Styela clava: one gene and its partner. The protein of the gene in region 2 purifies or fractionates together with the protein of the main gene of each other region. This does not show direct contact. Links are inferred from orthologs where the notes say so. Each region holds a gene or a part of one and is shown on either strand. Other genes may lie near its edges.

Region 1 (16,151 bases), on a different chromosome or scaffold from region 2:
ACAATTAGAACTCGAATATTTGATGTGTTATGGAAAACCTCCTCAAAATACCTTACTAAGCCCAACATGGCATTTCTCGTTGGCGCCAGTGAATTTGTACATAGTTCGCATTTTATAAAAACACGGTCATCTGACAAATAGTTGGATTAAATGTAAATGATGTATATACACCGGCCTAGTATGGGGTTGAAGCCGAACGCGATTTGAGTCGCGATTCATGCTTTCCAGATGACTAGACCTTCTGACAACAATATGAACGTACCATTGCCAGATAGCTTCCGTACCGTTTTATATCAAGGATGTAGTTGTGGTCAAAGCTAGTTTTTATATTTTTGGTCCCGCCTGTCCGACTGATGACGTTGTCGACCGCAATATTTGGTACTTGAGTGACTATTAATAGTCGTACATAAATGTCTGCTGCTGGATATGACATTTCAAAAATCCATACTGTTAAAAATTTATGTTAGATTTATTCTGGTAAAAAATGGATTGATATTAACTTTTGCTTTGTGTTATAATAACTCAGTCTAATTTGCGTACTTGGTATTAACATCCCCCATCGCCATTTGGTGTACATGGCCCCGCTACTGTTTTATATGTAAACATACACATAAACCTAGTAATACTTTGTTGAGAATTCAAAGTTGCCACTTTAGAGATATTTTCGAGTAAAATAATACACGCAACATGTAGTGTGTCAACACCACAAAATAGAATCGTTGTAGTCATTTATTTCAATATGAAAAGTAGTCTTTTCTTTGGTATTAATAACAAATATTTCTTAGTTACGAGATACGTTGAATATATTTTGCAAAATAAATTATTTTGCACAATTTTTATTTGCTTCGTTGATTTTGCAGTCCGTAGCATATTTGTTGATTTCAATTCACTATGAAGGATCGCTTACACTCGGAAAATGTTCATGAAACCATTGGTAAGACGGTGCGTCGTACCTTGGCGCCATTCTGACACAACATTCGTTCTTACATCAACGCGATCGTATTACGCCTGCTAGAATTTTGCTCGCCCGCAGACGAATGGTTTATTCCGGCCGACAATCACCATAATCTCTTTTCTTAGTACCGTAATCTGGTTCACGTTATCTAAGATACCGGTATGTTTTAATATTAAACGAATATTATACTTTATTATAAGACGCCTACGATTGAATGTTAGCAATTCAGAAATTATTAGGGGCAGTGTTTTCGTCTGATTCATTTCTGAAACTGTTGAATTGGTACGTGTATGTATCACATTGGTACGTGTATGTATCACACCAGTTTACATGATTAGTTAATGCCAAATTTTCATTACAATTCATCAGACTAAAATAATAAATTTACCATTCAGTGTATAGCATACTAATATCGGCCATGAACTCTAATTGGGGCGTTCAATTTTAAATACCACTCTAGGTGTTCTAACTCTTAACAGCAAAAAGAATTTTGTATTTAACCTTACATTTAAGACATTGATATGTTTTCTTGTTGAGAAATTATAGATTGATAAATCGTACTGGGGCTCTAACCATGTGATGTACTTACATATTTGGTCAAAATCTAATGAATTATTACTCGGAATACATTTTAATTTTCTTATTAAAGTATCATTTATAATATTTCAAATTTGATCCATTTCGATAGAGGAGAATTTTCTCAATGAACTGAACGTTTATTTTGTCTAAGCACTGGAGCAGTACGCAGCATCAGTTATTCGAACCATAACGATAATAATCTAAAACAAAAAGTGCTTCCTATTTTTTTTCTTGGTTCTAAACCCATTATCAAGGCAACCTAAATGTGATCTAAGTATGACCTGGACTAATTTACATGAACTGCGTTGTACAATTCCACTTGACGATGATGAAATTCAAATTATATCTTCGAATTGCAATTGTGAAATGAATACTGCGTTTGGATATCAACATGATGCAATTCGCAATACAATAATCCAATAAATACATAATTTGATTGCCACTTGCCTGCCATTACTTGGCAAGTTCAGGAAGTCTTCACTTTTGTTGTATTGCATGTTAAGTTAAAGGTACAGACAAAATAAGGAGAATTGTTTTAACAGTTATTTTGTCCATTGCCGCCAGAATGCAAATTGTTACTATTCAAGGTCACAATTACATATCAAATTATTAGTATTTCAAGGTCACAATTAGTTAACCAAGCAGGACTTTGCGTCTGCTGCGGCGTCGGCTACATTCTCGATTTGTCGCTTCGTCGGCAGACTGGTGAATGCGTCAATGACATTTCCTTGATGCAAAATGTAAATTCTAACACCCGGGTCCGAATATGCTATTACAGTGGCTCCCAACTTTTTTCGATAAATTCCTACGTGCGCCTAGTTTGGATCTTTCTATTGCGGATTTTTTTGTTGAGAGCCCTCGCAACTAATGAAAAATGCGAGATTTGAGGTTTCGGTTTGGACTGATTTGAAAATTTGAATTTCAAGCGCAATCTGTATTCCAATCCCTAATTTTTTTTAATTTCAGTGGCGGGGGTGTTTGTTGGCGGGGTCTCTAGACGAAACATTTTTTATTTCTCCCTCACTACAACAGTTCATGCCAAATGCTTCGTGTTAAATCTATGAATAGGATGTCAATTCACTGTCGCAATATGGTTCATGTCACTGGCTGGCATCTGGAACGAATATTTAATTGGTTACATTTTTTTACATCCGATCTGACTGGTAATCGTACGAGGAAGCCAGGTTTATGGAATAAGTAGTTCATGTTGTTAGCGTCTGTCCTCGTCCCTATTAATTAAACTAATATCTTATATGTAGCAAGATAAAAAAAAATTATCCATGAAATATCCTAATAAATTATACCCAAACTCGCTTGAACTAATCGATCACTCAATGTTTCCTCGTCGGTTTATCCTGATTTACTTATTAAACCTTAAGTGGCGTTTGCCGGTGTTATTTTTATATTGTATACGTGCTTTATGTCAAACAGCCATCAGATCGAAAGCCAAGTTTGCGACTATCGGGCACCGATCTTGTTATTTGCAAAAATCAGTGAATGGTACCTTATTTCGAAACGACAACTTTCAAAAATGCCAATAAAATTGCTAATTGTGGTCATTGATATAAATATTGATATTTCAAAACATAACTACTCATCGTCGTTATGTTAAATATGTATGTTATCAAGATTTTTCCTCTCGTCTTTGCTAGCTGAATAATTCTGTAGCATATGAATTCATCGATATTTTGTGCGGGAGTGGTATGCTTTCTCAATTCAAATTATTCAGCGAACATTTACTGTTGTACCGATTTGCCGGTTATATTTTACTTTCGCCCCGCCGAGCAGTATAAAATTAAAATTTTCTCTGAACGAAGGCTATTGGGCGTCTTGACTGTCGGTCTCTTAATTCTGTGTGTCCGTTTTCGCAGAAATGTTTGTGCAATGTCCATTAATTAACGCTCTTTATGAGGCAAATTTGTCTTTATCTTCTTTTCTGAAAAACTGACTAATTTATTATTAATGCTAAACACGATTCCGACAATGGTCGGGGCTGGGCATTTTCGAATACCTAATGATTTCAGAATCTAATCGAATCTCTAATACTTTATATATTTATTATTTTATTATTTGAGACAGAAAGGGCCTAAGTCACATTTTTTTGAAATTTCACTTTTTTCAATATTTTGTGGTTTTGAGCCATGCTCTACGACCTACGTCTACAAGATGGTGGTCTTGAAATCCTGAATTTCTCAATAATAAAATTTTTAGCTGGACTTAAGACTGTAATATTTTGTAGAAGTTAAGAACAGAATAGGTATAATTTCCAATATGATGGATATGGACATCAGAAATAAAATATGCGAAACTTACATCCCTAAGAATTTGTTCAGAATTGCATTTTAAAAATATGGAAAAAAAATTGCGAATCCACCTTGAAACAAGATGGCGGCCATTCGAATTTTTTTCTGAACCGATTCGAAAATTTAATATTCCATTCGATTAAAATAGTCGATTCAAAAGCCTATCTCCAACAATAGCTCAATGTTGCGCTATGCATTACTACACTATTATATTTCCGATTACATTCAGCGTTCGGAAATTTACACGATGTGGTAAAGATGTTTACATGTGCTAAATTGTTTTTGGGATGTTTCTATTATTATTCATTCAATTTTTCTGTTTCCACTGTTATCCCTTCACTTTACTAATTCGCTGAATTTATGAGAATATTATATTCAACGCAGTTTTGATCTTCTCCGTCGAACGATTTATATAAATTAGTGGTCAACATTATGAAATCGTTACCACCTTAATTTGACCACCTGTTATTAGATGAAGGTGCAATTCAGAAAAATTGAATTAAAGTTATCGCCAATCTTTTATCATAACTTTTATCGAATCGAGTTGTCTAGAAAAATATTTAGGAATTTATTTTGGTTAATATTTTTCAGAATCTCAATTTGTTATTCTGTCGATCGAACAAAATTTAAAAAAAAAAAAGTAAATTCGACTATTACGTCACAAGTTGTGATGTTACTTTGTACAGCTTGGACGGACGTCAGTGGTTCGCCACACACGCCCCTTTTGGCCCTCGTCGTTTTTGCTACCCTTACACATACCTTTTGTTAAATTATTTGGCCGTGTTTGGAACTCACTTTGTTTTTGCGCTTCTTAGAAGTAGAAAACTCATTGCATAGTTAGTATTCTATTTTTTTAATGGGTCCATTCTTAGACATCTTTATTCTTTTATAATCAAGATTCGGTCGTGTCTTTGTCAGTCACTCCCAGTATCGTATTTCCTGGTCTATTGTTGTCGCACCTGCGATTTCAAAGATCGAAAGAAGACTTTGATTGCTTTTTTATGTCCCATCATGCTCGGTCTATGATAGCAATGCACGATTTGGGTACGTCTTTGGCTTAGCCCGGTGGTGCGCTGAAATAAACATGGGGCTGTGGTTTGAAAACATGTTAATTTGGAATAGTAAACCAGTGTCGTGCGTGTGGCTGCTAGGTAGCTTGAGGTTTGGCGTTTTGCAGGAGATGTTTTGTGACGAGTAACTACGTTTGCACTTTGCAGAGTTTTTGGTATGTGGCGCAGGTAAACGGGACCTTGTATTTTTCAGTCTTTATCAAGGATATTACGATTTACCAAAGTATAAGGTTTTTCTGAATAAATGACGCGTATAAGAATTTGCCATTTTCGGTGAACTGTTATATTTTCTGGCAACAGTAGCACATCGCTCAATCTGGAGTTGTCTTTAGGAAATAACATTTACTTACGGTTACGGCGGTACTTATGTCCGGATAAGCGTTGTTTCAGTTTTGGAATACTTTTCAAAATGAAGTCATGTTTCTTTGACCCGAATATCCGATATTTACGAAAGACAAATTTAGGTCCGTTGTTGTAGTCATATCTTTTATCGTATTCATTTAACTAACAGTAGTATACAGAAATGCCTATAAATGCGGAAAATTTTTATTGCGTGGCGTTTTGAAGAGTTAATTTTGAATTAAAATTCGAAGTAAATGAATTTAAATTGGAAATTAACTCTATTTTTGTACAATTGGAATCAAAGTGATTTGTGGATATCACTTATAAAGGGTCACGGAGGTTTGATTTACTCAATGAATTTTGACCATTTTTTGACATCTGGTTTGAAATTTTGATATTCAACTGAAATATCATGACAAACACATTTGTTTAAAAAGCAGATGAATCACTTTCAATGCGGTATAAATTTGGCGCCGTTCTGAAAACCCAACAGCGTGTGTCCTTACAATTCTCGAGTATCATTAGTCTTAATCTGATTTACATAACCATATCGCTTATAGTTGAAATGGATTCCTTGTTAAATGGAAACAATTTTTAACTTCGATTTACGTTTATTTATGCATGGGCTACAGATATTTCCCGACGCACGGCGAGTTATTTATGACGCTTACTTGATAATTCATTTTATGTCGATTGAAATTTTCCAGTCGGATAAAATATGTCCATTGTGTCAGCTTTAGGGCATTAAGAAATCAGTAGGCGCCAATATTTTTTTAGTTCGGGAAATTGTAACGATATATGCGGTCTGCACCCAGACTAATGTCCCGCTGCGAGGCCTGCTGACGCCGCCTAATGTCATGTTTTGATATCGCTTTGGGCTGAGGTGGGAATTGCGGAAGGGCGAGTTTGAACATTTTGATTAACGACAGAACAACCAAGGAGTGGAAATATTTCCCACACATCAGTGTTTAGTCTTATGAAGTCATATTTATCAAATATACAATTCCCTCCGTTCAAGTCTGCATTTAACAAGTTCATGATTTCAATATACTTCCGAGTTTCAAAGGAACTCACATGTTTTCGAAAAAAATTTCTGTTGATATTTTTCGTTAAATTGTCTTGAGTTTCATGTTCGTTATAGCAGACGGTGATGAAAAATGTAGTAGAAATATTTTTTTTCAATTCCCGCACATGTCAGTCAAAGTGTGTTGCTTATTTCATTTTCATGTAGTCTTGTCGGAATAGATGATCATGTATGCCCATCATTTAACACCGAAGCGACCATGTCCTAGTTTTTTATGAAAATTGTTGCCAAAACGGAATTATTATTATTGAATATACCTACGTTATCATTTGTAAATTGTCACCGTTTAAAATACAGTATTCCTCAAAATTTAGAATTCCGTGACCTCCTTTTATAGACTCTCAGCATCCTACGATGATCCAGGGTCTTATATTGAAAATTAATTCCAAACGGGTTTCCATAATTTCTTTTGTTCACTTTGTTTAATAATAAAAAGCCAACAAAAGAACAAATGTAATAATGTCAAATAACTAAACAAATCACAGTTGGTTAGAAAGAAAAAAATGCAATCATCGCATATGGTATCTATAGTGAAGACCTTTGACACCAGGAGAACCACTTCGTGGCCCTTGAAGGGGTGCGAGTGACCAGTTTGAGAAACGCTGGTCAAATGCTTGTTGGATAGGTTTAAAAATGTCAATAAGACATTAGAATTTTGGCTGTTTCCTTATAATCGCACCTTCGTTTGTCCCCGGCAGATTCAGTCGTCAAAAAATTGTCTTTTTTGGTTTATGACCTACGTTTTGTTTTCCGCGGTTAGCGGTTTCAGAGAAAAGACGTGGAATGACGGAAGTGGATATGATCCGAAAAATTACAACAATGCGACCAACGACTCGGAATTACGTTACCGCGTATTTACGCACTGTTGCTTATGAAAGAATATAGATTTTTGTCTTATCTGATTTTCGTTCGTGTTTGTATATGCAAAGTTCAAAGATACGAATACGATAGAATTACAGTACCCATTTTGTTTTATTGTTTTGTTTAAACACGAAGGGTTGAAAGTTGTGAATTCCTTCTGTCGAAAGTCGGGAGTCGTTGAAGGTTTTACATCGCGTCGGAATTGGAGTTTTGGATCGGAATTTCTTTCTTTTATGATACTGTGAATCGAGGTAGGAATGTTCAGAAACACAAAAAAAGAGATTAGTTTTTTTTTATTTCGTAATTTAAAATTCGTCGTCAGAAATTATGAGTTTCTGAATGATTTTCCTGATTTTTTTTCGTTTAAATCGAATTGTTTAACCAGTTTTAACTAGGTATTAATGAAAATTCACAATACCTATCATATTATAGTATAAAATTCACATTCACTATCGCCGATTGTTACTTTACAGTTGACGTTATTTGCTTGCGCTTGGTCGGTATTTTGTGAAAAGATGGTAATCGTTGTGAACATAACTTTGATGGGAGATAGTGGATAGAATAGAATAGTGCTTTATCTTTTTGTTCGCTCGACATCTGGTCCAGTCTCCGTCTGTCTAATTATTTCGGCGTTTACAGTTCAAGTTTTTCTTCCTTGAAATCGAGATTCACATCCGCTCAAAATTGTGATATTTTCGTCGCTAAAAATTGTTTTGGTTTAGAAATCGGTATACCTTGCATATGTTAGGTTTTTTTAGACATGCGGTATATTATGGTTATTTGCTTAACTTTGAGTAGGAAATTAACTCAATTTGAAGTCATGTGTATAATATACTTTTGTATTAGAAATACAATGTAGTCAGGTCAGTTGGCGGCTGCTTTTGTACAATGATCAAGATATCGAAATTTCCGGCGCCAAACAACATGCTATTAGCTATAGATAGCGGTTACATCGTCTTCCGTTTGATAATCGATTGCCGTGGGCATTTGATGGACCCAAATACGACAAATATCGTATGTTATGTTTACTACGCCAAATCTGTAGTACCCTTGGCAAAGATAGATATTTGTCATAGTTCAAGCTTGGCAATTAATTGATTGGAAATTTAAAAACCTTTTATCGTCAGACTTGCTAGATTGAATTTACTACGAGGATCTGGGTGTCGGGGGTCTGTTTTATGGCCTTCTTCCCATTCATAAATTTGTAGTCCTGGTTCAGTGCAAACAGCTAAACACCAGTTTTAAAAATCAACTTTCCTACAACGCAATCATGATCTATAAGTAATCCCGCCAAAATGAAGGATCTGACAAGCTTGGCAATGATATAGTTGTTCTCGTAGTGACGTCACTTGCTCGTCGCGCCGCCAGTAGATTGATTGGCGCCATGGCGAACTGCAGGCTTGTCTGTTGTCTTTGAAATATTAATGACTTGAGTGGATTAAAGGTCTCGCGCTTCGCGTTTACACGACGGCAAGATAGTCAGAAAGACGAGTTGTTAATTGCATTAACAAACGATGATTCGTTTGAATAATATTTACAATTGTATTTACAATAGTCGGTAATTATTTCTGTTGAGCTTACACGCAAGACATAAGCTACGATGTTCGTCAGATATACCCCATTCATTCTTATATTTTAGAACGATAATAATGTTTAAAAATTGAGTACCTATTAATAAATTGTAATATATAAAACGTTACCATATTTTGAAAATGAATTGTGGTAGGGAATTTTGAAATATCTGTTTGTTTGTACATGAATATACACATATGCTCCTAATTTTTTATTACTAGCATTACTATTATCAACATGGATCGATGGTAGTATTACCTAAAATGATTTTATTATAAGGGCCTAACCCTAAATTTTTGGAAATTTCTTTGCTATTGTGTGTTGAAACAAGACGGAGATTTTGCATTGTTTACCAGCTTAATATATTCATATTAGTTTATCAAGAGTTTTTATGCAAATAAGCCAAGGAGTTTTCTCATATTATGTTCATTTTTGGTTTTAACAGTTTGGTTTTTATTTATTTTTGCAATCTAAAATTTTCTTGCTTAATATTTAAGAGAAATTATGTTGGAACATAATTGTCTTGTTTGTCAATTTTAGAATTTGGAAATGTTGTTAAACATCGCACTGCGGTTATAAGGCCGTGTATAGTGGTTTCATCTGGGCATGAGAAAATGATATTTGATATATTGAAACAACATTAAGATGAAATCAGTTATGAATGTAGCATAATGTTAAAACAAATAATTTTGTTGCTTTTATTGTGAAAATTAAAATTTATTAAAATATACCGGTAAGCATTTTACCGTTCAGTCGGTCAACTCCATTATCATCAACTTCAAATCAGCTTCAGCCATTAGAATACATTCATTTATGACCAACCAACATTGATTTTTTATGGACTGTACCGCCATACACAAAACTACTTTCAAGTTAATTTTTCCCATTATTTTTTGCCTCTTTGTTCATATTAGTACATTTTTATTAAAATTATTTTCAAATTGCTGCATTATTTATTCAAATCGTGCGTCAAAACACCTTTTCAAGCACACATAATTTGTTTTGCTAAGGTATTTAGATATAAGAAAATTTGTTGTGCTCAGAATGAATCATAAAATTGCAATAAACAACTTGTTTTATGTTATTAATAAAGGATTACTTGATTTTATAACGATAAATTTGCTTTGTTAAAGGTGTTTCCATGGTAAAGTATGAATAATATTAACAACTTGAACGATATTTGATACCAAAGAATGTGTGTCATGTTACATATTGTGTCAAACTATTATGAGTTTATGAAATTGATATCAAGCTTTATCACATATGTGAAAATTTTCAGAAGAGAAGGTTAAGATGATAGTGTATTAGAGTCAATGAAATGGCATCTGCTATTTATTTATTAATATTCTATTAGATTAGATTTGCTTACAATAAAACAAAGTCCAGATTAATTTTTAATTATTCAGCTTTCCCTAAACCTACATGATTATCGTAATTTTCGAACAGATACTTATATATTGTTTAAATCTACGGCTTTATTTGAATATTTTTATCATTAGGTATACCTTAATGTGTGATATATTTGTTAAGTTTTATTTTAGACACTAAACTAAATGAATTGGTATGAATTAAAAGGATTTACAAATAGTGTAAAATGGATATCATGTGACGCATCTTTCCGATATTTAAGATAGAGTCAATTCATTAGAAATGGTGAAATGTAGTAAAATCGCCACCACTGCGACATTTAAGTGCTATTATTTGATTTGGGTATCATATTCATATTTTTTTATTGCTATGACAATCTGAGTTGTCATACCTTCTGTTAGAATATTTTACAGTGTCAATATTCGTAGTTTACTAAAATTTTACGATGTTTTTAAAGGGTGGGTAGATATAAACCCAAAGTAAGTCGATGAAAAGTGGATTGTGGTTGAATCTAATTGTCATTTTTATCTTTTTGCAGAAAGGAAGTTGTTGAAGGTAAATAGGCAATAGAAAGGTTGTAATTTTGGAATGTGGGCAAGTCTGTTCTTGTACCCGACAAGAGGTCCGACGCCTCGTTGACATGGGTAAAAAGACAATTTCAAAAGTACCCGTCAGCAAGTTGGTGTGGCAGTGGACAGAGAATGTTCCACCTGATCAGATAACTGATGAACATTTATATACAGCCTACCATCTGAAACTGGGTAAATGCAACGCATGTCGGAAAAATTGCTCCAGTAATCCTATTTGTCTAAGAGGCCTTGGCGAAGGTTTCTGGCTTCGGGATGGTAATTATCAAAATGTGTTAGAAGATGATGTCAAGGATATAAAAAGTGGAGTACGAAAAGATGGAGATTTTGTTGGATTAAAAAATCTGGGAGCTACCTGTTATGTTAACACTTTTCTGCAACTATGGTTTCATAATTTATCTTTTCGTCGCGCAGTTTATAGTTATAAAGAAAACGTCACTGATGATCAAAAAGCCGAAAGTAATTCCAAATTTCCACACACAGTGTGTGGGCATCTTCAATTATTATTTGCCATGTTACAATGTGGTAAAAGAAAAAATATAGATCCAACATCTTTTGTTAATTGTCTTGGATTGGATACTGCTTTGCAACAAGATGCGCAAGAATTTTCTAAACTTCTGCTCAATCTACTTGATCGTACATCAAGTGTTGGGAATTTTCTTTGTCACGAATTTTGTGGCGAATATGACTACTGTACTACTTGCAACACTTGCGGTAATGTTTCAAAGTGCCCCTCTAAATTCTACGAACTGGATTTGTCTATACAAGGACATAAAGACGTCATTCAGTGCTTAAAGGAGTTTTTCAAAGAAGAACAACTCATTAATGAAAACCAATATCACTGTGCAAGCTGTGACTGTAAAAGAGATGCCTCACGTAGGATTGTCATTAAGGAATTACCTCGAACTCTTAATTTACAGCTTCTGAGGTTTGTGTTCGACAAAAAAACTTGGAACAGAAAAAAGCTTTCTAGTTTTTTATCTTTTCCTGACACACTTGACATGTCAACATTTGTTACATCTGATAATGTAGCTGCCATTGATGCAGTTTATGAACTTACAGCAGTTTTGATTCATCGCGGACCGAGCGCGTCTTCAGGCCACTATATCGCTCATATTAAGGACTCTACGACACAGTTTTGGCACAGATTTAATGACGAGGCTATCGAGAAAATGAAAAGTGGCAAAAAATTGGATTTGGATGCATTAACTACTGATGATTATCAGGCAGATATGCCTCAGCCAGCAAAAAAGCCAAAGCTAAATAAAGGCACACACTCATCAAAAGATGCATATATGCTTGTATACACAAAAAAACAACAGATGTCATCTTCCATTGAGTCACCTCCTGGAATACCAGAGCTCGCGAAAATTACTGTAGAAAAAGACAATGCTGATTTTTTTGCTTGTATGAATGCAATGATAATAGAAGCTGAAAAAAAAGCATCTGAAGAAACAAAGAAACATTCTGTGATGGGAAATCTTCTGAAACAAATGGTTGATATGGAACAGGCGGAGCTACTTTCAGATTGCTATTGGGTACCGACAATGTGGTTAAAACGCATGTTAAATGTAAGCGCTGGCGTGAAAAATAGCTTTTCAACAGATAAAATATTTTGCACCCATAAGAAATTGGATCCACACAAGGTGGGTGGGATGAAATGCATTCCGAAGATTTTAGCAGACCACCTATTTGAAATGTACGAACAGGAAACTCCCCGTATCACAAACCAAATGCTTTGTCTTCAATGCGTAAAAGAACACTGTTTTTCACTTCGTCTTAAGTCAAGTTTAAAAGAAGATCAAACCACTGTCAGTAAGCTTTTGAAAGACTTTTCTTCAACTGAAGAGAATGAGTATTATTATATTGGTCGTTCTTCATTGCAATCCTGGAAAGCAATGGCAACAAGAATTTTCGAATTGAAAAATCGAAATAATCAAATTATACAGACAGTACAATCAAATGAAGACAATGATGAATGGAATAGAAGGAACGAAAATGAAGATAGTTTTGAAAGTAGTGATGAAGACTTTAATTTTAATGAAGATTTACTGTGTGAGCATGGTAACTTTACTACTGATTATAAACAGTATCGAAGGGTGTCTTCATCAGTGTGGAATATTCTTGTTAAATATTTTCCTGATGCTCCCGTATACAAAACCTCAAGTGCTACGCCTTGTCACATCTGCAAAGATAAAGAATACGATGCTGAGCAGGCTGCAGAACTTAAGAAGATGGTGGCTCATGAACAGAAGTCTTGCCTTCACAATCTTTTTCTCAATAAAAACAGACCTAATTATGAAGATTTATATGCTATAAATGATTCTTCATTTTATATCGTTTCTGCTGAATTCGTGCGGAAATGGAGAGAATATGTCAAATATTCTTCAAAAAACGAGGTAGTGTCACAGGTACAGAACAAAATATTGATATGCCCTCATGATAAGTTGCTATGTGATCCTGTCATTTCTTTAAATAACTTTGACAATTATGATAAAGATGATATAAGCACTATGTTACTTTGGCCAGAAGAGTGGGGTTATTTAACAAAAAACTTCATTGTGGATGTACCAATATCCATAAAGAAACATATCATGGTATCGGAAGAACAGAATGGGGTAAAAAACCATGAACAGTGTGAAATAGAGCACCAAGAAGGTACTATTTTAAAAGAAGTGCCAATTGCTCCATCCTCTCATGCAACTAATATCGAATCTAACAATAATGTTCCTCAAGCACCAATAGAAAACGGATCATCAACTGAAATCAAGGTAAATATTACTCCTGTTGTAATTCTTGATCAGATTGTAAATGAAAAATCAAGCCTCAAAGTTGTACTTCATTTTACACCCGAACTCTGTCAAGATTGTATTGTTGGCAGAGCAGTCCAGAAGGAACATAGTCTGCGTAATTATACTGATCGTGAAATTTATATTAAAAAAGTGATTTTAGACAAGATGAAATCTTGGAGCAACGAGTTCAAAAAACCTTCTCAAGAAAACTGTGTTCGGAAAAGTAAGAGAGCTCATACAACTCCAGGGGGAAAGAAAATTACAGTGTCTTCAAACTGGACTTTAAAAGAGCTAAAAATCAAAATCATGCATATGTTTTCTGTTCCACCATTTGATCAGAATCTCTGGCTTGAAGACAAGATACTAACGGACAATAGTGCTACACTTGGTTCTTTGTCAGTGTTACCGAACTGTACCATTATATTAATAGCTGATGAACCAGATGATAATGCTCAAGAAATGTTGCCTGTAATATCTAATAATGATCAAGTTTTAGAAGAAGGATTCAAAGGCACGAGCTTGCTCACTAATTCTTGAATTATTTGGTATTAATATGTGAACAGCATTCCATGTAACCAAATGTAGATTTGGTCATTGCCTCTTAGTGGAGCCAAATGAAAAAAGGTGTACAATTTTTCACTGAAAGTATTTTTAAAGTGAAACTATATGGAGCCCTCAGTAGTGGGAAATTGTTCAAGAATTAACTTCTAGGTGTGGTCAGTAGTCCTTGTATTTCTTATACCCCACTCTCTTGTATTTCTAATATGGCCTATTTTTCATACAAAATATCATTACAAATTTAATAGATCGAACATTTCTATATATAAAGGCAACAGAATAAATATTGGAAAAATTATAAACAATATTGGTAATGATCTCAAATATTCTGTTGGATACGTGAAGCTGAAATTATCCAAATTCTGACTTTTTTTCAAATTGTTTGTTTCATCTATTGATTAATTAATATTTATTTGCAATATTTGGTAGAAAGTTAAAAAAATATTGTTATGCTAATGTGCAATTTAAAGTTCTAAATGAACTTGTTTTAATTGAGTTTTTTAAATCGGCAACAAGGTACCTTTGTTTGCAGTTCATTGTTCATTTATTATTACTGTAATTATTACCCATAGTCAATTATTATTAGACAATCATACTTTTAATTAGGACTGTGACTGTGAGCTTGCATATACCTGAAAGTTCTAGGGAATCGGTGAAACGTTATCTATTGGAATATTACAGTAAGTCATCGAAGACTAACCATCTGTGTATTATGTCTTTCGAAGATATGTTTTTGTGTTAACTTTATTGAGGCAATGCTAGACTGGTAATAAAGATGATTGTAGTGCTATTTAAAACAACTTGAATACATGACAAGTGGCTAATTATACCATTAATATCCTGATGTGCGCTTAGGTATACAAAGGCTAATGCAATGTTTTAAATCTGTGCCCGTTTCAGCAATTGCACATCGTTAACTAACCACGTAGAGTCTAAATATAAAAGTTCTATAGGATAGTGTATTTTAGGTCACTTACTTGAATGTAAGTTAGTTTTTGCGGACATCTTTTAATCGACAAAAAAAATTGAATGTTACAACAATGTCAGCATCTACCTCCAACACTACCATTCTGAATAGTTATCTATCATCCACCAATTATTTTAGTGATCTGTTATAGTTATCATTCTGAAAATTTTTCTTATTCTCATTTTGTAACATAAAATGATAAACAGGTGGCTTTTGTACTCTTATCCCAATTGTTTTGAAGCGTTCTCCAGGGAATTTCAAGTGTTGGTCAATGGTCAAGTACCTTGACCTGATCAAGTTCGATGATTACTATCTCTCATTTTCCATCTGCCATTGCTTTGCTCTTTACTTTACAAAAGCCTCTTATGCTTCATAGCAACATTTGGTTGGTTTTAAATGCTTTATTTAAAGGCTTTGTCATTGATCAATTAGTAAGTTTGTTCGATGTGTTAAAAAGGTATTTTGGGGGTGAAAAAACAATTGAATATTTAGAAATCAACTTTCATGTAAAATGATTTGTACTCTGCAATAATGTTTTGTTTTACTATATTGTAAGTCTGGGAACTTCTCATGGAAGTTCTAAATTATTTTGGGTTCTCAAATATTTTTAGAATTTACTGGTATGTGTTATCCAAATCTCCTTCAAAAGATTTTTTCTGCAAATATTGTTTCGTTTATTTTACCACAACACTGTTCATTTTTTCTGGTGTTGCTTTCATTCCTGATTATTGATGTTGTTGTGGTCCGGTTCTTTTTCTATTATAGTTTTGATAAAGTATGTTAATCTTATAAAATAGAAGTAATTTTTGGATTTTTGAAAATTGTAAAAATGGATAGCATTCCTGGTGATCTAAACTTGGTTGATGATATAGCGAAAGAACCATATCAGGCAATGTTTTGCCGGTGCATCGATGCATGTACAAATGGAGAATACAATTCTACATGTGAACTGAAACCAAAATGTATGTTTGTTTGTTAATATCTATATTAATAATATACCGGTACTAACTTTTCTGAGTAGTATTTATTGCATAGCTTCAATCATTTGATGCAGAGAGTAAAGAGATTTATTATTTCTTCGAAGTGAAACTGTCTACTAGATAACAAACTAAA
Region 2 (16,560 bases):
ACAGTATACTCGCATCGACAACAACAGAAATGCAGTCCAACTCAGTTACTCAACACAAGCTCAATATCTGAACCGGATTTTCAATTACGAGTTATTGGATCTCCTTGTAAACACACAGTAGCGAATGTCAAAAGACAGAAACTTTCAAAACACAAAACAACAAAATGTTATGAAATAGACGTATCTCATAAAAAGTCCGCAGATATACCCGAAGAAACAGAAAAGTGGATATATCCATCACAAACACCGAATTTAGGTAAATACGTACATTACACATTATGCGCTGTATTTGGGTAGTCTCTATCTATAACTATTTCCTGTTCTAGGAATATGAAATTTTTAAAATTGAAATGCTTTGATTTGTTGTTTATTCCGGAAAGTTTCCGGTTCTTGCAACTATATCAGCTCCTAGCCAAAGATGGCCACTTGTCCAGTGCAAAAAGCATAGAAATACACTTGGATGCTCCCTCCCGTAGTATGTGAACCAAGATGGCGGACACCGGAACATAGTATGTGTACAAACTTAGGGTTAGGCTACATTTGACATGAGGAATAAACTATTTATTCCTCATGATTCAGGTCTACATTTGACAATAAACCAAATTCAAATGAATAAATCTAATTTTCTTTTTTATATGTGACAGAAAATGGTCAGTCTTCTTATGGTCGGACACTCCGACAAACCAGACGCTTTGTTGGTTACAATCAAACTGAATCTGTGATTGGCATACAGTGCGTCTCATATGAAGATGAGTTGGATGTTCTAGCTGTACTTCATTTCAGAGGAATCACAAGCAGTGAATATTACAGTTTTGGAAACAAACACTATGGTGCGTATGTGATTAAATATGAAGTATACACTGTGAATAAATCCATCCATTCACTGTGGAGTTTCCATGTGAGCTAGCTAGCTCCAAGCAAAGTCACATTTGCTGGTACTCTGAAGTATGTGTACCAGATTAGGGTTAGGTTATAATTTCATTACAATTTTCCTTATTTTAGTTCTATTACGAGTTTGGAGACTAGCCAAGCGACCCGTATTATTTGTACCTAAAATTACCTGTCTACCATCTTGGTACGCATACTTGGCCCATTTGTTCACTCAATGGTAAAGTAAACTCACTTCAAAGTATGTCACTAGTGATCAATGAAATTTCATGAAAAGCTATCAAGAATTATACTGGTAAAGATTTCAACATAACTAGAGTTTTCAATGAAAAAAGTTACTCTGGCAGTATATTAATGACAACTCATATGTTAGGCTGGGGAGAGAGAGCTATATTGTTTTAGTGAAGCTGGAGACAAGTTACCTGAAATGTTAGTAGTTCAGCTTCTAACCTTCTAATTATTTTTTCGCATTCAGATTTTTCTATTAGTCCATACACTTAGTGAAATCCATCGGCATATAATGTTTATTATTCATTTAAAAATTTAGTATCTAATGTTAATTTGAAATTTTTACCTTTCATATTTATTGCGTATGGTTATAAAGCCTATGATAAGCCATTTTGATTTGAAACCAAATGTTATCAACAGTATCTGTTAAAAGCACTGGGTGTACCCTACCAGCAAAATGGGAATATATGAATTTTGTGTGTGTGGAAAACTAGCGACGCAATTCAAATATGTGTGCAATTATTATGAATATTTCGATTGCAGATCTGGTGGTCTCATTGTATGACAATGCTACTGGTGCTAGAATAAACACTGTTACTTTGGAACAAGATCTTGTGCCAAGTGATAACTGCGAAGCAAGTATTATTTTGGACGAGGATACTGTGATATACACAAGGACTGAAATGAATGACACTTCAAACTATAAAATTATGAGGTTTTGTCGGAAATATTGAATTATTTTTTATAATATTATGAATTCACTGTGATCATTTTTAATAAAACGGACGTATGAAGGCGTTGCTCCGTAATTATCTGGGCGACAATTGCTTCGTGGTATATTTGATGTTTCGGTTAGCGATTTGAATATGGACTCCAAAAGAGTTACCGTAATGGGGACTGGAAACGTTTAGGTGAATTTTAAATAAAGCGGTGTAGATTAGGACAAAAGTGACCCATTTTCTATTGGACCATGGGAGGAACGAACATAGCACGTTGATGAGAAGAATATCCTCTCTCCCCTGAGAAGATTATCCTAATAATAGTGAGTCAAGTCAACTATTCCAACAGACAATCCCACTGCAGATGACACTCATTTAAATATACATGTACATTCTCAGACTTGTGCAAACAATCATAAAATGCACATTATTTATTCAACAATTGTTCAACGCATAATTCACTTTTTGATAAATGCTGAATTGGACAAAAAATAATCAGCTGGTAATTGGAAAACGTGTCAAGTCGAAATAAAAATTCTTGAACTTGATATAAGCATACAAAAAAATAATTTTATAATCGTGACTTATAAACATGGATGATAAATGCAAATACATCTAATACGAGCCATGATAAACACAAGTACAGTGATCGATTTGCATGACAGCAAGTATAAATTAACACAAATAACTGCAATGAAGACACTGGACAGCAAGAACAATTATATGAATAACAGATTTATCATAGGATCTGCTAAAGTTCACCACACATTAATCCCAGGATGTGATGTCATCAAGCCAAATCCATATAGAGCTTGGCTGTTTATTTGAACTTGCATATGTTTCATTTCACAATAAGGTGGCTACTTATCCACAATCTTTCAGTAGCTAAGAGTTATTCAATCAACATTTGTATTATTGGGAATGATAATTTTTTCATATTGCATTCTCAAAAACCACTACAGTTGACCATACAAATATTGGACCAATTTGTATATATTCAAATGAGGCAAATCAATTTTGACCACCAATACATACACCAAAGGCAATCGGCAGTCTAATTTAAAATCATGGTTTTGATCCTTCTTTGAAGTCACTAATATCGATTATCAAATATTGTAAATCAGTATTTTTCTTTATGCAAAATTACATGGATTACCAAAACTTCTGTGTGTATGAAAAAACTATAAAGAAGTCAATTAAATCTTTTAAATATCACTGGTGTTTACAGTCTATAATATAACAATGACACTAATCGACGAGTATAATATTAAAACAATTATACTATTAAAAAACAACATTTGAAAATCATACGATATATATATAGTGCAGAATAGAATAGCTTGAATTGTGGGACACAAAAATTGCAATAACACTCAACAGAATGGAAATTAGAAATAGTATCTAATCGGTGGGCATGACAAATCATCTGAATCATCACTCGGATTTTCAAATGTTGCCGTCAGATCAACATACAGTGTATTTTTGTCTCCAATTTTAATGAGCTTTGTCATAAGGTGATCCAATCTTTTTGAATGACCAGGCATGATTGGTATATAAATCATTCTTGAGCCATGTACAACTGCTGAAATTGTGAGATTATATTTCTCATGAAAATGCTGTATGAAATCTTTTAGTTTGAAATCCTTGTTGCCACGAATCTCCCATCGATCCCAAACACTGAAGGAGAGATCTTTAGTTAATTTTGTTTTTTGAGCAGCAGCTGGTTCACTGAATAACACAAGCGGTAATGCAAGGTTTAAAAAGCAATTACGATATTTAGACAATTCTGTTTCAATATTTGAAGCACAATTTGACCAGTTCGTTCCATTTTTTTCATTATTAATGAGCTGTATTACCAATTGCAGAAACTGTATGGTCGCAAAACCTGAAACGGCAGTAGTGGTGGTAGATATAGCAGGTATGATTCGACCTGCTATTCGCTTTATTTCAAGACGATCCACATTTTCAATGCCATACATTTTAGCTCTTAGATTGGCAGCAGAAGAAATGAAATCAATATGGTGGTTCGAATCATCATCTTTTTCAAAATCTTCTGGGTATAACTTGAAAGTGAAATCACTACGTGTTTTAGCAGTAAGCATAAGCTTTTGACTTAAATCTTCGGGTGAATCTTCATCTGTCTTAGTTGGTGCTGGGGCTTTTTCATCAACTACAACTTCCTTTGTACTTGGTACCCAATCAGGCACCACTGTTTTTTCAATAGCATCGGCAATGCTCTTGGCAATCTCTTCTTGACTAATGGGACGTTGCACACGATATATAGCAGCAATTAATGATGCTGTACTAATGACGAACTGCATATGGAATGGGTCTTCGAGATTGAAGATAATCGGGGTAGGTGGACGTTTAGGTAATGACCAGAAAGGTGATCCATCCTGCAGCATAGTATCCAATGGAAAGGCTTTTAATAAATCTTTTGCTTTGTGATTAAACAACTTCTCAAACTTTCGTCTTGCATAAACGACACAATCAAACCAAGTTGTTGGTGCTTCAGATAGAAGTCTTAAGGTGACAGAGGCATCTCTTAAATTATTTCCTGACATTAAATACTTGTTGACCAATTCTATGATGTTATCTTTGTTTCCGTTTTCACGTACTTGACACCCTTCCCAAAAATTGTTGTACGTCATTGGTTTTTGTTTAAACATGACTTCAAATTTGTCTCTCGCCCATTGTATTGTATGCTGAATGTTTGAGGGGAATGATTTCAACGTACAAAAAGGAAATTCAACATCTGCTGGATCCTGCTGTGATCCATAACTTTCCGTTACAAAAGGGGTTATGATTTGCACATGACCTTTCGGTCCCATCGTCCCAGATTCCAATAAAGGACGTTGATTTGCAACACATCTTGTATCCATGTACCTTCTTGCTGCCACATTATCCAAAGCGTTGACTACGATATCCTGACTTTCAAAAAAAGCATCATTAAATACATTTTCTGAATCGGGTTGAACTTTGTATTGCAAAGGCTCAATTTTTATGTCAGGATTTATTTCCTTCACTGACAAAGAGGCTGCAGAGCTTTTGGATTGTCCTACATGGCGACTATGAAATAGAAATTGACGATTCAAGTTTGACTTTTCAATGACGTCATTGTCTGTAATCACAGCTTTCCCATTTTCAGTTGAAACTCCCAACAAAGCAAAGTTTTTTAACATTTCACAGCCAATTGCTCCACATCCAACCATAAATATGTTTAACTTCGCTAAACGTGCTTCCACTGTTTCACCCAAACATGCTTTCACATCACTTAAATCATCTGATTCCTGCATTTGTTCGGGTGTGAGATGAAGATTAAAAGCCAGCTCAGTTGCATCTAAATACAACCATTGCTTTAATGGGGTGTATTTACCAGTTAAAGCCTTCAAAACCTCTTGTGCTGCAATACCACCAATCGCAGTTGCGAGAGGCGATAATGCTCCTCTACAAGTAAAAGAAAGTAATTGAACAACTTTCTTGGCATTTTCATCATTTGGAATATCAATTTGAAACTGATTCACTGTATTGGTGAATAATGTAAACAATGCTTCAGCATCATTTTTGTTCCATAGCTTTGGTAAATTACCATTGGATTCTACAAATGAGTTAAGAGCTGAGAAAGCTGCATGGGAAATAGCAGGGTTATCCATCTTCCCAAAATCCGTCAACAATATGTCAGGCTTTAAGAGTTGTTCATCTAAAGATTGATGGGATATCGTAGATTTTTTAGTTTTTTCTTTTACCAAACCACCACCTTTGTACTGTGAATAATCACTTGTATCCCCAATTGTGAATTTATATGGTGACACGACCCGTACTTCTCGAGTTTGTCCATTTAGTTCCACCATTCCTTCAACTTCAGAAAAAGAAACACTGTCACCATCTTCCAATCCATGTAACTGATCCTCTAAGCACGTTACAGTGCCTTCACTGTTTCTAGTAATATCTCCCACAAACATTTCCTTCAAAGTTTCTCCTCTCGAATCAAGAATCTCGAAATTTTTCCCAAAGTTGCAGAACAATGATGAAAATACACCATAAACATTGCAACTTACAAATTTTAACTGACCCATCAAATTACAACTCAATTTATCGAGATACTTTTGATGAGGCAGACTACGTTGGGTTGCGATTATGCAATCAATATTTTCGAGAAATTTTGTAAACTCTTTGTGAGAATCAGCATCACCCAATGCAGCATTTTCAATATGAACATCCGAAGTTGAAACTTCGACTTGGACGTAAGGATTAAGTTCTGCAAGGCGTGGCACACAAGCTTCTGCTCTCGTTTTCTTATTTTGCAAATCCGACTGACTGACATAAAAATTGTTTCTGATATCCCGTTTTGTAACAAGTGAACTATCGGCCACATACAATTTCCCTATTCCAGTGAGAACCAAATTTTTTGCAACTTCTACGCCAAGACAATCACATCCTAATAAAAGTACATTTGCTGATGCCATTCTCTTCATTGCATTATCACCTAACATATAGCGTTGCCTGCTATATAACGAGTCATCAATTTCCATTTTGTCAGCCATAATTACCAAAAGGAGCTATTAAATACTGTAAAACAATTTTAATGAGCTTGAAGCATCTATTTTATTTCTTTAGTTAGGAAATTAGACTTGGTTCATTAAATGAATTTGGAAATCAATGATATCATGAAGAATAAATTTGAAAATCCACCCTTCAATTTTTTTTATATTATTTACGAAATGTTTTTAAGAACTAAAATTGCTTTGTTTGATCATGATATTCTATCACGAAAACTTGAATCAATAAGCTGTTAAACATCCATCCATAACATTTGAAATAAAAATTTATTCCAAGATCAGAAGATAGAATTTCTAACTAGGTATTCATATTAGTAAGAGTCAGAGAATAAAACGAGCAATAAGTTTCACAGTAAATTATGCAATGAATGGTTTTCAATGCATTTCCGTTTTCATTATTTGAGTAAACACAAATATTTAGATTTCAAATGTACAAAATATCAGTCAACAATAGTAAAAAATTATAAAAGCATTTTGGTATTTGTATCTACAGGTATATGTAATAACATATTAGGAAACCCACTTTTCAAATAGCAAAGAAATCATTCTTTCGATAAAACATATGGCGCTCCTGGTCATTTTGAATAAAAACAGTATTTCATTGTATTATGTGTTAATCTAATGCCCGATATCTGGATATAGTCAATATTTTTTATGTTTTACTTGTTTGTTGCTTATATTCCAGTATTTGTTTAATAACGATTGAAAAAATACAGAATATGTTATTTGTTTGATATTCTAAATCAGTTTATTAACATTTCAATATCGAGACTGCTACACTTGAATTTTTACCTTATTACTGTACTGTATTATGTATTGAGCCATACCAGCATACTGCCATAAAACTGATAAAGGTTAAAGACGCTCCGGATGCGCAGAAACTCAACTTAAACAGTTCTATTTTCCTTTCTTTCTTAAGTAGAAATTGTTTTAATTCAGTAATTTGTCTAATTCAGTAGTTAGACTCAGCTATATTTATGGCCTCTGCACCATGATAAAAAAAATACTAGATTACAAAGCATACGCTGAGATATTGAAAGTTACTGTACCGTACCTGTCTGCCTGTACAGTTCTGCCGTTGGCTGCGTAATTTATTTATTTGAAAGATTTGACTTTTCATTGTTTTCACACGGGGGTAAAATTCCTGTTCGATGAAAATATAGCCTACCAATCCAAGAAATCAAAGAAACAGTCGTCCAAAGTGACGTCGCCAGCAAAAGCGGAACAAGTCTATCTATCTATCAAGTCTGGTCGGGAGCATACGCTTTGGTAGGGAGTGGCCTATGGCATGGGTGGGCAATTACTTTCCAGAGTGGGCCGAATGCGGATAATAGACTTGGTTACTGGGCCGATATGATCGATGATGATATCGATATGATCAAAATCAATTAATGGGACTTCATTAAAGGGGTTGGCAAATTACGGCAGCTGCACAGAGAAAGTTGATAGAAAGAGATTCTCAACAGGTCGTGCGGAATACTTGCGAGATGTAATTCACCGGAATATAGTTTGCCGATTTTCACGTTTTAAATACCCACGTCATGCTGAAGAAAACAATGACCGATTTTAAATTTATTTTGCTCACCGAGTATGCGCAATCGCTCCTCCCTCCCCTATGGATTTTTTGCCCATTGTGTTATGCGTTTCGCGGCATTTAGGAAAACACGAAAAAATTTGCAGGCCCAAATGCTGATATATCGGGAGCTAGAGTTTCTGAATGACATAAATAATTTGGATCGATGGTTTTGTACATTATATTCAGTACTGATGATCCGTGAGGACTTACGTTATTTACTTTAGCCGACGATCCGTTATTTCATCGATATTTTAAACGGAAATTTATATCCATAAAAACAATATTCATAATTTCAGCAGGCACAAGTGGTCCGGATGAAACACTCCAGTAGGCCGGTTCCGGCCCGCGGGCCGTAATTTGCTCACCTCTAGCCTATGGTGTAATATAATATCAGCAGTGCACAAAAGTCCGAAACGACGGAAAAGGTTGATACTGAAATGAGGCAAAAAATTAAATGCCTGAAAATTGAGAGAGAGAAGGGAGGTTCATGCTTCTGCCTAGTTTTATCAACTGCCATTTGTTTAAAATGAAAATCTTTTTTGAACTCATCTGTCCTTCTACTTTTTGAAGCTGAAAATGACGCTAATTGTTCATTATTTCTTGCATCGCTTTGTTTATAAAAGCTGTAGAACAGTGGTTCTCAACCGGGGGCCGAAGGCCCTCAAAGGGGCCACGAAGCAGCTCAATTGGGGCCATGGCACAAGGATAAAAACTGATCATAACGCAACTTCGTTTGCATCCTCTCCTTTTAAAATAAAATTCTCCGTTCAGGCTTTCAACGCAGTTACATTGCCTAAATAGGTCATTTTGCGATCACAGGATGTGTTCACTTTCTTGTGCGTGAATTGTCTACTCTAATATAAATGGAATTTGGAATCTTCTAATCAAAATAGTCCGCCGGTAGCAGGGTTGCCATATTGGCTTTTTTAACCGCATTTTTGGCTTTTTTCAAACACGTTTGGCGTCTGAATTTCCGTTTGGCTTTTTTAAGTCTCTTGGAGTGTCTATTATTAAAATCATATGAAATACAATATTTAGTGTGTAACAATAGCCTATTGCTCAGCTACATAACATTTGGACTTCCCCGAGTATCGATCGAATTTATATACGCCACTACGGTATTGAAGGGAGTTCACTCATCCTCATATCATGGCGTCATATTTGAGTGGTCGTCATCAATGTGCTCAGAATGGCGAAATTGTCCCTGAAATGCGCTTCATCAAATGCGGAGTTCCAAAGGTTTCACAATTTAGGCCGCGAGCCGAGGCCCTGAAAAACGCCTAGAAAGTAAGTTTCGTAGCGCACATCAGGTATAACTACCTGGAAATGATTTTAAAATGTTCCTTAAAAATTTAGTAACAAATATTGCCTTGTTCCCACTTCCAAAAATTGCACGTTTTACGGAAAAGACGCTTTCACTACAAGAAATATGTGCTACGATCTGTCCTATATTCTCTACATTTTCGGCAATGAACAATGACTTCTGCATGACGTAACAATCGAATCGAATCAGCTGTTAGCGAGCGGGTGAATATTAGTTATTACTGCTCGACCTTGCGTTGGGTTGGGCAGCCTTTCCATAGCGCTGTTTAGTTTTTATTGGACACGTAGTGGACATAGCGATCGTTCCAATATTATTTTGTTGTTGTTCTTTGTGTCCTTGTTCTTTGACACGTTTTGAAGAAATCGCTTTTCTCTTCGAATACTGGACCAATGGTTTTGAAATTTTCAGTGGTTGAAGACAATAATTTTCTCCAGAAGGCTCTTACTTTTTTTTCATCGTCATCAAAATTATTCCCACTGGGTAGCGCTACGTGTCCATATATTTGAAAATAGCTCTCTTGTTAGTTAAGTTATGCTGAGACGTTGTTGAAAAATGTATAAGTAAGTTATTAAACACTTGTAGCTCCTTACCACGGATATGGGCCGTGAGACGAAGTCTTGAAAACGTCCAGAAATGAGTTTGTAGCGCACATCTGGTAAATAAATAAATTCTTCAGTTTTGTTTGAAAATGAACTTCAGCTTGTTCCCCAATCCTGATGCGAAATTGAATATTAGAGGTTCCCGGAAATTCAATAACCATAAGTTTACAACACATACATGAGAACCGACGACTAACGATAAGAACTTCCCCGTCATTGTCACAGCATTCTTTTGCAGACAAAATCAAACGCTGCGTTGTTTGCCCGCGGCGTAAAGAAGCACTCCAGGTGTCGTCGTATTTTATTGTTTCCCGGATACGAGATGAAATACACGACTGCACAGACGCTCCATCCATTAGCCTTGACTGCAATGCGCCGTATAATACATCCACGTGATAGAATATTGTGGAGAAAAAATGAAAACTCACCATCTTCTAGCAGACGCTTTAGACCTGCCGCCTCCCTCACAGAGCGTTCGTCCCAAACCGGAGAGCTCTGAATGCCATTGAAACACTCAATGAGCTCAGACCTAATTTCGGACACGCCCTGCACCACGCGTGATTGGAAGTTCTAACGTGTTGGTGCACAAGCTGGGAGACGGCGGCTACATATCTGGCGAAGGAGGTCAGAGCGCTTCGGCGAAACGGGAAAAAAATGAAAAAAACCCGAAACATTTGCAAAAAATATACGGACGAGAGGGGTATCAAGACACATATTTTTAATAACGAGGTTAAATTGGTGTGCATAACAATGTAAAAAATGCGCATGAGGAAAATCTTCTTTTATATAAACTTGAACACCATGTTTCGACCCACTCATGACTGCCGCGCCGTCTTAAGTTTGAGCAGTTGTCTCGTCAGACTGAATCGAAAGGAACTGGCAATTCTCAATTTCCAGAGCCAAATGTTGTAAATAAATTTTATACATTGAGTCGATCAAATCATTTTGGATATCCTCAGATGTTCCTTTCGAAACAGTTGCGGCATCAAGATGATCTCTCAATACTGTATCTAGGGATGCGGTGTTTTCCACCATATCCAAAAATACCCCTATTAGAAGAGCCAGCCCGTTCATCGTGCCCACGGAGGGACAGCTCGTGACAACAAATGAACTTCAAAACATCTATCAATCGACGGAGAACATGGCGGTTTTTCTCGACGTTTTGGTTGTGCCGACGAATAGAAACCGCGCGTCCTTCATCCAACTGTGCTGCAATATTAACATTTCCGAATGTTCGGTATTTTACTGCATTGTCCAGATGCTCCATAGAAGATTGATGATCCCTGGCACGCTCGGAAAGATGTTTAAGATCTCTAAAACCAAATTTACACCAACGTGAGTCACGGGCGGTAGCAAAAAGTAGGCAATAAAAACAAAAAAGTGCATTTTTGTCCTCGCTGTAACACAACCATTCGTGTTTTTTATACCAAGTTTCTGCGCAGAATGTACGCCGACGCGTTCCTCCGTCATGGGATTGTTCCAGTGAACAATTTTTTGGTTGATAAGGCCTAGGACGTTGTACCTCTAATTTTTGTTCCAGCGGCAGCTGCGAAAACGGAGTGCGAAGTAGTGCATCAACCTTATTCATTATGAGGTCTGAGGCTAAGAAATGCGAAGCCGGAAAGAAATGAGGAGCTCAAAAGGAATGTGGAAAATCGAAAGCAAATGGACTAAAGGTCTCTAACTGATTCAAATAGCGAAACAAGCGACAAAAACGAAGGCGAGGAAACTATCAACTCTTAAAGCAACCAACAAACGAGAAGGAATGCGTGAATATGTCAACACGTTGTTGTAAGAAACGTCGGCATTGTGTCGTCATAATTTCGGGGCTAGCCCCGATGATTTAGTAAAAGAAACAGAAAACAAACGAGACAAACGCGGCGAGTGGAAGATAAAAGAGAGAATACGATATACAATGAGCAACCGGGGCAAAATCGGCGTCGCCCCGTCGACGTTCGGCGAAGGCTTTGCGAGCGAAAAATGAACCATGTCGGGAGAATATGGCTAGTGTAGACAGTCTGTGCAACCGATATTGTGGTATTTTTAGGATAGGATAGGATTTACATATTTATCCCGGGGGAGAGGAAAGCCGATAAGACGGCTTATCCATATGGCGAACCACGGCCTCTCGTCCGGTTACCATTCCAAGTCGGGTATGGGATTAGATTTACTGTATTGTTTGTTTTCGGAAGCATGGACTTGGTGGTGGAGGAAGCCGTAACCGACCAGCGGTTACGTGAACCACCCAACGACGGCGAGGAGTCCAGCAATCCTCTCGCACATAACCATCCCTGCATGGGATTCGAACCTGCGAACCCACGCAGAGTAGTTAGAGGTGCGGTGGCGAGCGTATTCCTAACGCTTAGCCCGTTGAGCCATACCGCCGCGCGGAATCATTTTTCGAATATTTTTTATTATACCAAAAAAACAACCGGGGCATTGCCCCGGTTGGCTCTATTGACGCGCCGCCACTGCATTAGTCTTTTTTTCAGTTTACGTGGTTAGGTATTTGAACAAAGGCAATATTATTTCTAGAAACAGGACTGAAACTGAAAGATAAATGGCCAAGGCTCGAGGCCTATACCTTAAAGCGATTTCCCGTCATTCCCGCTTCTTGTGAAATTCCCGCTTTCTAGTGAAATTTTCCGTAGTTCCCGTTATTCCCGTAGTTCCTGCATTTTAGTTTTGGCAATTTCCCGTCGTTCCCGCATTTTGGTGCATTTCCCGTTTCCCGCATTTTAGGGTTGCCCATCCAAGACGCGTAAACGAGCACCCGAAATCGAACAGTTATTTCTCTCGTTTTCTCGTCGCAACGATTCCAATAGGAGAGAGATCGATAACGTCAGTCAGTTCTTTATAGTCGGCGCCAATGCCATTTCGGGTGACTGTACGTATATTTGGCAAGCTCTATGACGTGATTGTGATGTCGTAGTGACGTAATTTTTGGATGGCGTAGGATTGACATATCAAAAAATTGTTATGCTACACCCACTAGAAGTACGTTAGGTATGAAACTACACGTGACCCAAATTTTGCGTCCGGGAACAATTTAAAAACCGGAATTTTACTGCATCTGCAATCGTACTGTGCACACTGCTAATAAAGAGCATTGTTATTTCGTACCGGGCGCATATTTTTTACTACGAGGTCATGAACTGTCCGGAATTTTGCTTTTTCAAATATTGCGACCCTGCGGTAGTTACCATACCGGTATGGTTTCACGCACAACACTGCTATTAACAGCATAATGCAGTAATGAAGTTCTGTTTTCGTTTGTAAGATTTGTAGTAACATTTATTTTCAATTTGTTAGAGAGAATTATCATAAATCATATCATAAAAACTGATAATTATAGAATTATTAAACAATATTTATCATATGTAAAATACCAGAATTAGTAAATTCTTTTGCTTTGGACACTCAACTGTCAAAATGGCAGATGCTCTCAGCATTCTACGAGAATACAATATGGCGAAGAAGAAGATTGAAGAACGTGATGGCTATATCACTTTCGGAGACTTCTCATGGCCCAAAAATATAAAAACTAATTATCCAATTTGGGGGTGAGTGACTACTTACTGATTTTTCATTTCTTATTGTTCTGGAAGGTACCGTAAAAGCAGGTAACTTCGGATGATTTCACTATATTATGAACAATTTCTCCGCCGTTTATTGTTCAATTGAAGCCAAACTTGGAATATAATACATTGAAGCCTTTCTCCTCGCGATAAACTCGGTTTCATATCAATCAATACTTTTTTTCATTCAAATTATTGACTTTATTTGCCTGCCGATCTGTATTCCAAATGTTTATAACTTCGGATGGCCACTTTTCGCTTTGCGTCACTTCGTCGTGAGAGAGAAATGTCTGCGTGATCAGTGACGCGTGATAACGTCGCTGCGTAGAACTTACGACGCCGTGATTCGTTTTGCGTGTCGCACACTGACGTTCATCTATGACGGCCGTTTTTGTGATTATTAATTCTTCCGGGTCGGCGGACATCAAAGTTTTATATATCTGGTGTACCCGTGTGTTTACATCGGCAACAGCTCTTGAAGACAAGAAGGACTGATTTCAAAACCCAAATTAATTTTGTTCTGATTTAATCTTACGTGTTGGCTTTGATCTTACTTATCACCGTTTGTATACTATTAATCGTTCGAGTTTAAAGCGAACGGTGATATTATTATCGTCGCCGAGATGGAGATATTTATTAAGACGATGATTGATGTTGTTATGCTTTGCACCCGCGATTGTGCGAATACTGAATTTTTATTTATAATAATGATTGAATAAATCGGCCGTTATGCATTTATACTTGTCATAAGGCTTTTGGTCCTGATAGCGGGTCGGACACTAATTATAACTATTTCCCTCAAGTTTTAACTTTTTTTTTGAACAAAACAATACCTCAACGGTTATTATAGCTAAAACCGTTACCGACTAATTCACAATTTTATCTGCGGAATTTGCGAACTCAGCACTTTACTCGACGATTTTGACAGTGTCGCGCCATAATTATTACCGCTAAATGCTTCAAAATACAACGCATGTAATAATTTTGCCCAGCCCTATTCCTGACGTTTCGCAAAACTAAACCATTTATCTCTTGACTATTCTTAATTTCATGAAAGTGCTATATCTTGCTATTATGATCGTTTCAATACGAAACAAAAATGAGACAACATGGGACAAATGAAAATAAAAAACGGACGAATAAAATAAGTCGTAAAGGTAAAAATGGAAAACAATTTTTAATACAAAACAAAAATGAAACGAATGAAAATAATAAAAAAGAAAAATGGATGATGAATTACGGTAGGTAGTAAAAGTAAAAAAAATGAAAGTGGACAACAATATGGAACAGTGTAGCTTGTGGCCGTGTTGATAATTCAGATATAATGTATTCACAGGCAGATAGACATGAAACGGATAAAAACGCCAAAAACCTCCAATCTCCTGCTGTGTGCACCTGTGCAGAGTTTCATGCTCACCTGTGCAACATTCTACTCTTAATATATTATCATCGCCGATCGTAAAACCTTGTCATTGTGATAGTATAGATACGCGTATCTGGCTGTTCATCAGCCTTACGTATCAACAACATCTATACGGTCGAAGAATGCCGAAATGTTAACACACAAATTTAATGTGCATTAATCGGATTCACAATAAATAAACAGCATATGACCGGGGCTATAATTAAGTTTTTGTAGGATTTGGTGACGAGGATCAGGTAGGAGTTTTCACTTTATATTTAACTACACGTGGCGCCACATAGTCTGGCGTTCAAATGTCGCAGCGAGTTACGCACGAGCTACGCAATGTGACGTCGGCCTTAAATGGAGCGAAATTGAATCACGTTGTTGACGTCACGTTCAGCGTAAGCACCGTAACGTCGATATTTTAACGAAATTTTTAAATCAAAATAATATATTTTACTTGAATCTCGTACGACATCTCGTGATCACTGTAATTTTCCTTGTACATTGTGTATGCCCTCTAGCGATTGACGGTCTTTTAGTGAAGTTAGCGTCGATAGAAGTCGCTATTTTAGCCGCTCAAAAGCGAGGTGTCAATTTTTGGCAAAAAGGTGATTTTTTGTGTCAAAAAATAAATCCTATTAGGCGACTGAATATGATAAGAGATTAAGATATATAAGGACTCTTTATAGAAACTGCCAGAAGCAGAATATGACGTAATTTAGTCGAGATATAAACGATTGAAAATTTCATCCGAAGTTATAAACCATCCGAAGTTACCTGCGTTTACGGTATTTTTCAAAGTATATCTAGATATTAGCTACCGGTACATCAGTACATTGTAATGGTTAATTAACTTCTGAAGTTTCATTTTTAGTGTTTTTCATTTCTGTCTGGATTTTCTGATTAAAAGAATATTTATTTCAATTTTTGAACTCTGAAAATTGTTGCTAATATTGTATTAGGAAATATAATTTATCAATTCATAATGTTAAATTCCATAATGCCTACATTTATTGTAGCTAAAAACTAAATTATATATTTTTCTAAATTGTTTTATCATGAATTTCTTTTTTCAACCTTCAATATTTTTTGTTTTTACGGGAGGGTTTCGTGCAGTGGTGCGATTCAGCCGGTTCGAACTTAGGTTCTATGGAACAGTCTCATGGAATTTTATGAGCTCAGCGAACTGGTTAGCATTACTGAAAAAAAAAAACATGACTTTTTGTAACAAAGCCGGCTAAAAAATATGATTTTTGTGATAGAACCGGCTGACAAAAAATTTGAATCCCAGCACTGGTTCCATGTAATATTGCGATGAATTGCATCATTTTTTCCCATATTTCATTGATCTGCGCCAATGAAATAACTAACGCTTTTATTAAGCATAATATGTTTTTTATACTAATATGGAATAAGTAGCCGTAAAATATAAATATTTTAAAGAATTTCTACTATTCGCTCTTAGAAATTACAATTTTCAATGTGAAATGCCTTATTTCACTCACGGTCTCATTGTTTTAAAGGTATAGGTAATTTTCAGTGAGGTATGCTGTAATGCCAATCAGAGTACGGATAGTCAATTGTCATATATTAGTTTTGTATAGTTTAATTCTTATTTTGTACTCTATTTGCAATACAGGAATTTTTAAAACCTCTCATTATCTATGATTTTTCAGTACTG

What was found.
Region 1: the proteins of ubiquitin-like modifier-activating enzyme 6 (region 2) and ubiquitin carboxyl-terminal hydrolase 48-like fractionate together in Homo sapiens (co-fractionation; 3 studies listed by BioGRID, with this or other methods). This does not show direct contact. The link is inferred for Styela clava from reciprocal best matches to the Homo sapiens genes UBA6 and USP48.

The regions. Positions count from the first base shown.
Region 1 is NC_135260.1:11,601,993-11,618,143, reverse strand, and holds ubiquitin carboxyl-terminal hydrolase 48-like, read left to right. Parts: upstream 1-8,056; 5' UTR 8,057-10,774; coding exon 10,775-14,050; 3' UTR 14,051-15,803; downstream 15,804-16,151. Other genes in the region: bone morphogenetic protein receptor type-1B-like, read left to right, coding at 15,868-16,000.
Region 2 is NC_135254.1:14,426,280-14,442,839, forward strand, and holds ubiquitin-like modifier-activating enzyme 6, read right to left. Parts: upstream 6,430-16,560; 5' UTR 6,380-6,429; coding exon 3,224-6,379; 3' UTR 2,224-3,223; downstream 1-2,223. Other genes in the region: DDB1- and CUL4-associated factor 17-like, read left to right, coding at 1-256, 645-830, 1,660-1,850; parafibromin-like, read left to right, coding at 13,326-13,456, 16,556-16,560. UniProt on the Homo sapiens protein: Activates ubiquitin by first adenylating its C-terminal glycine residue with ATP, and thereafter linking this residue to the side chain of a cysteine residue in E1, yielding a ubiquitin-E1 thioester and free AMP.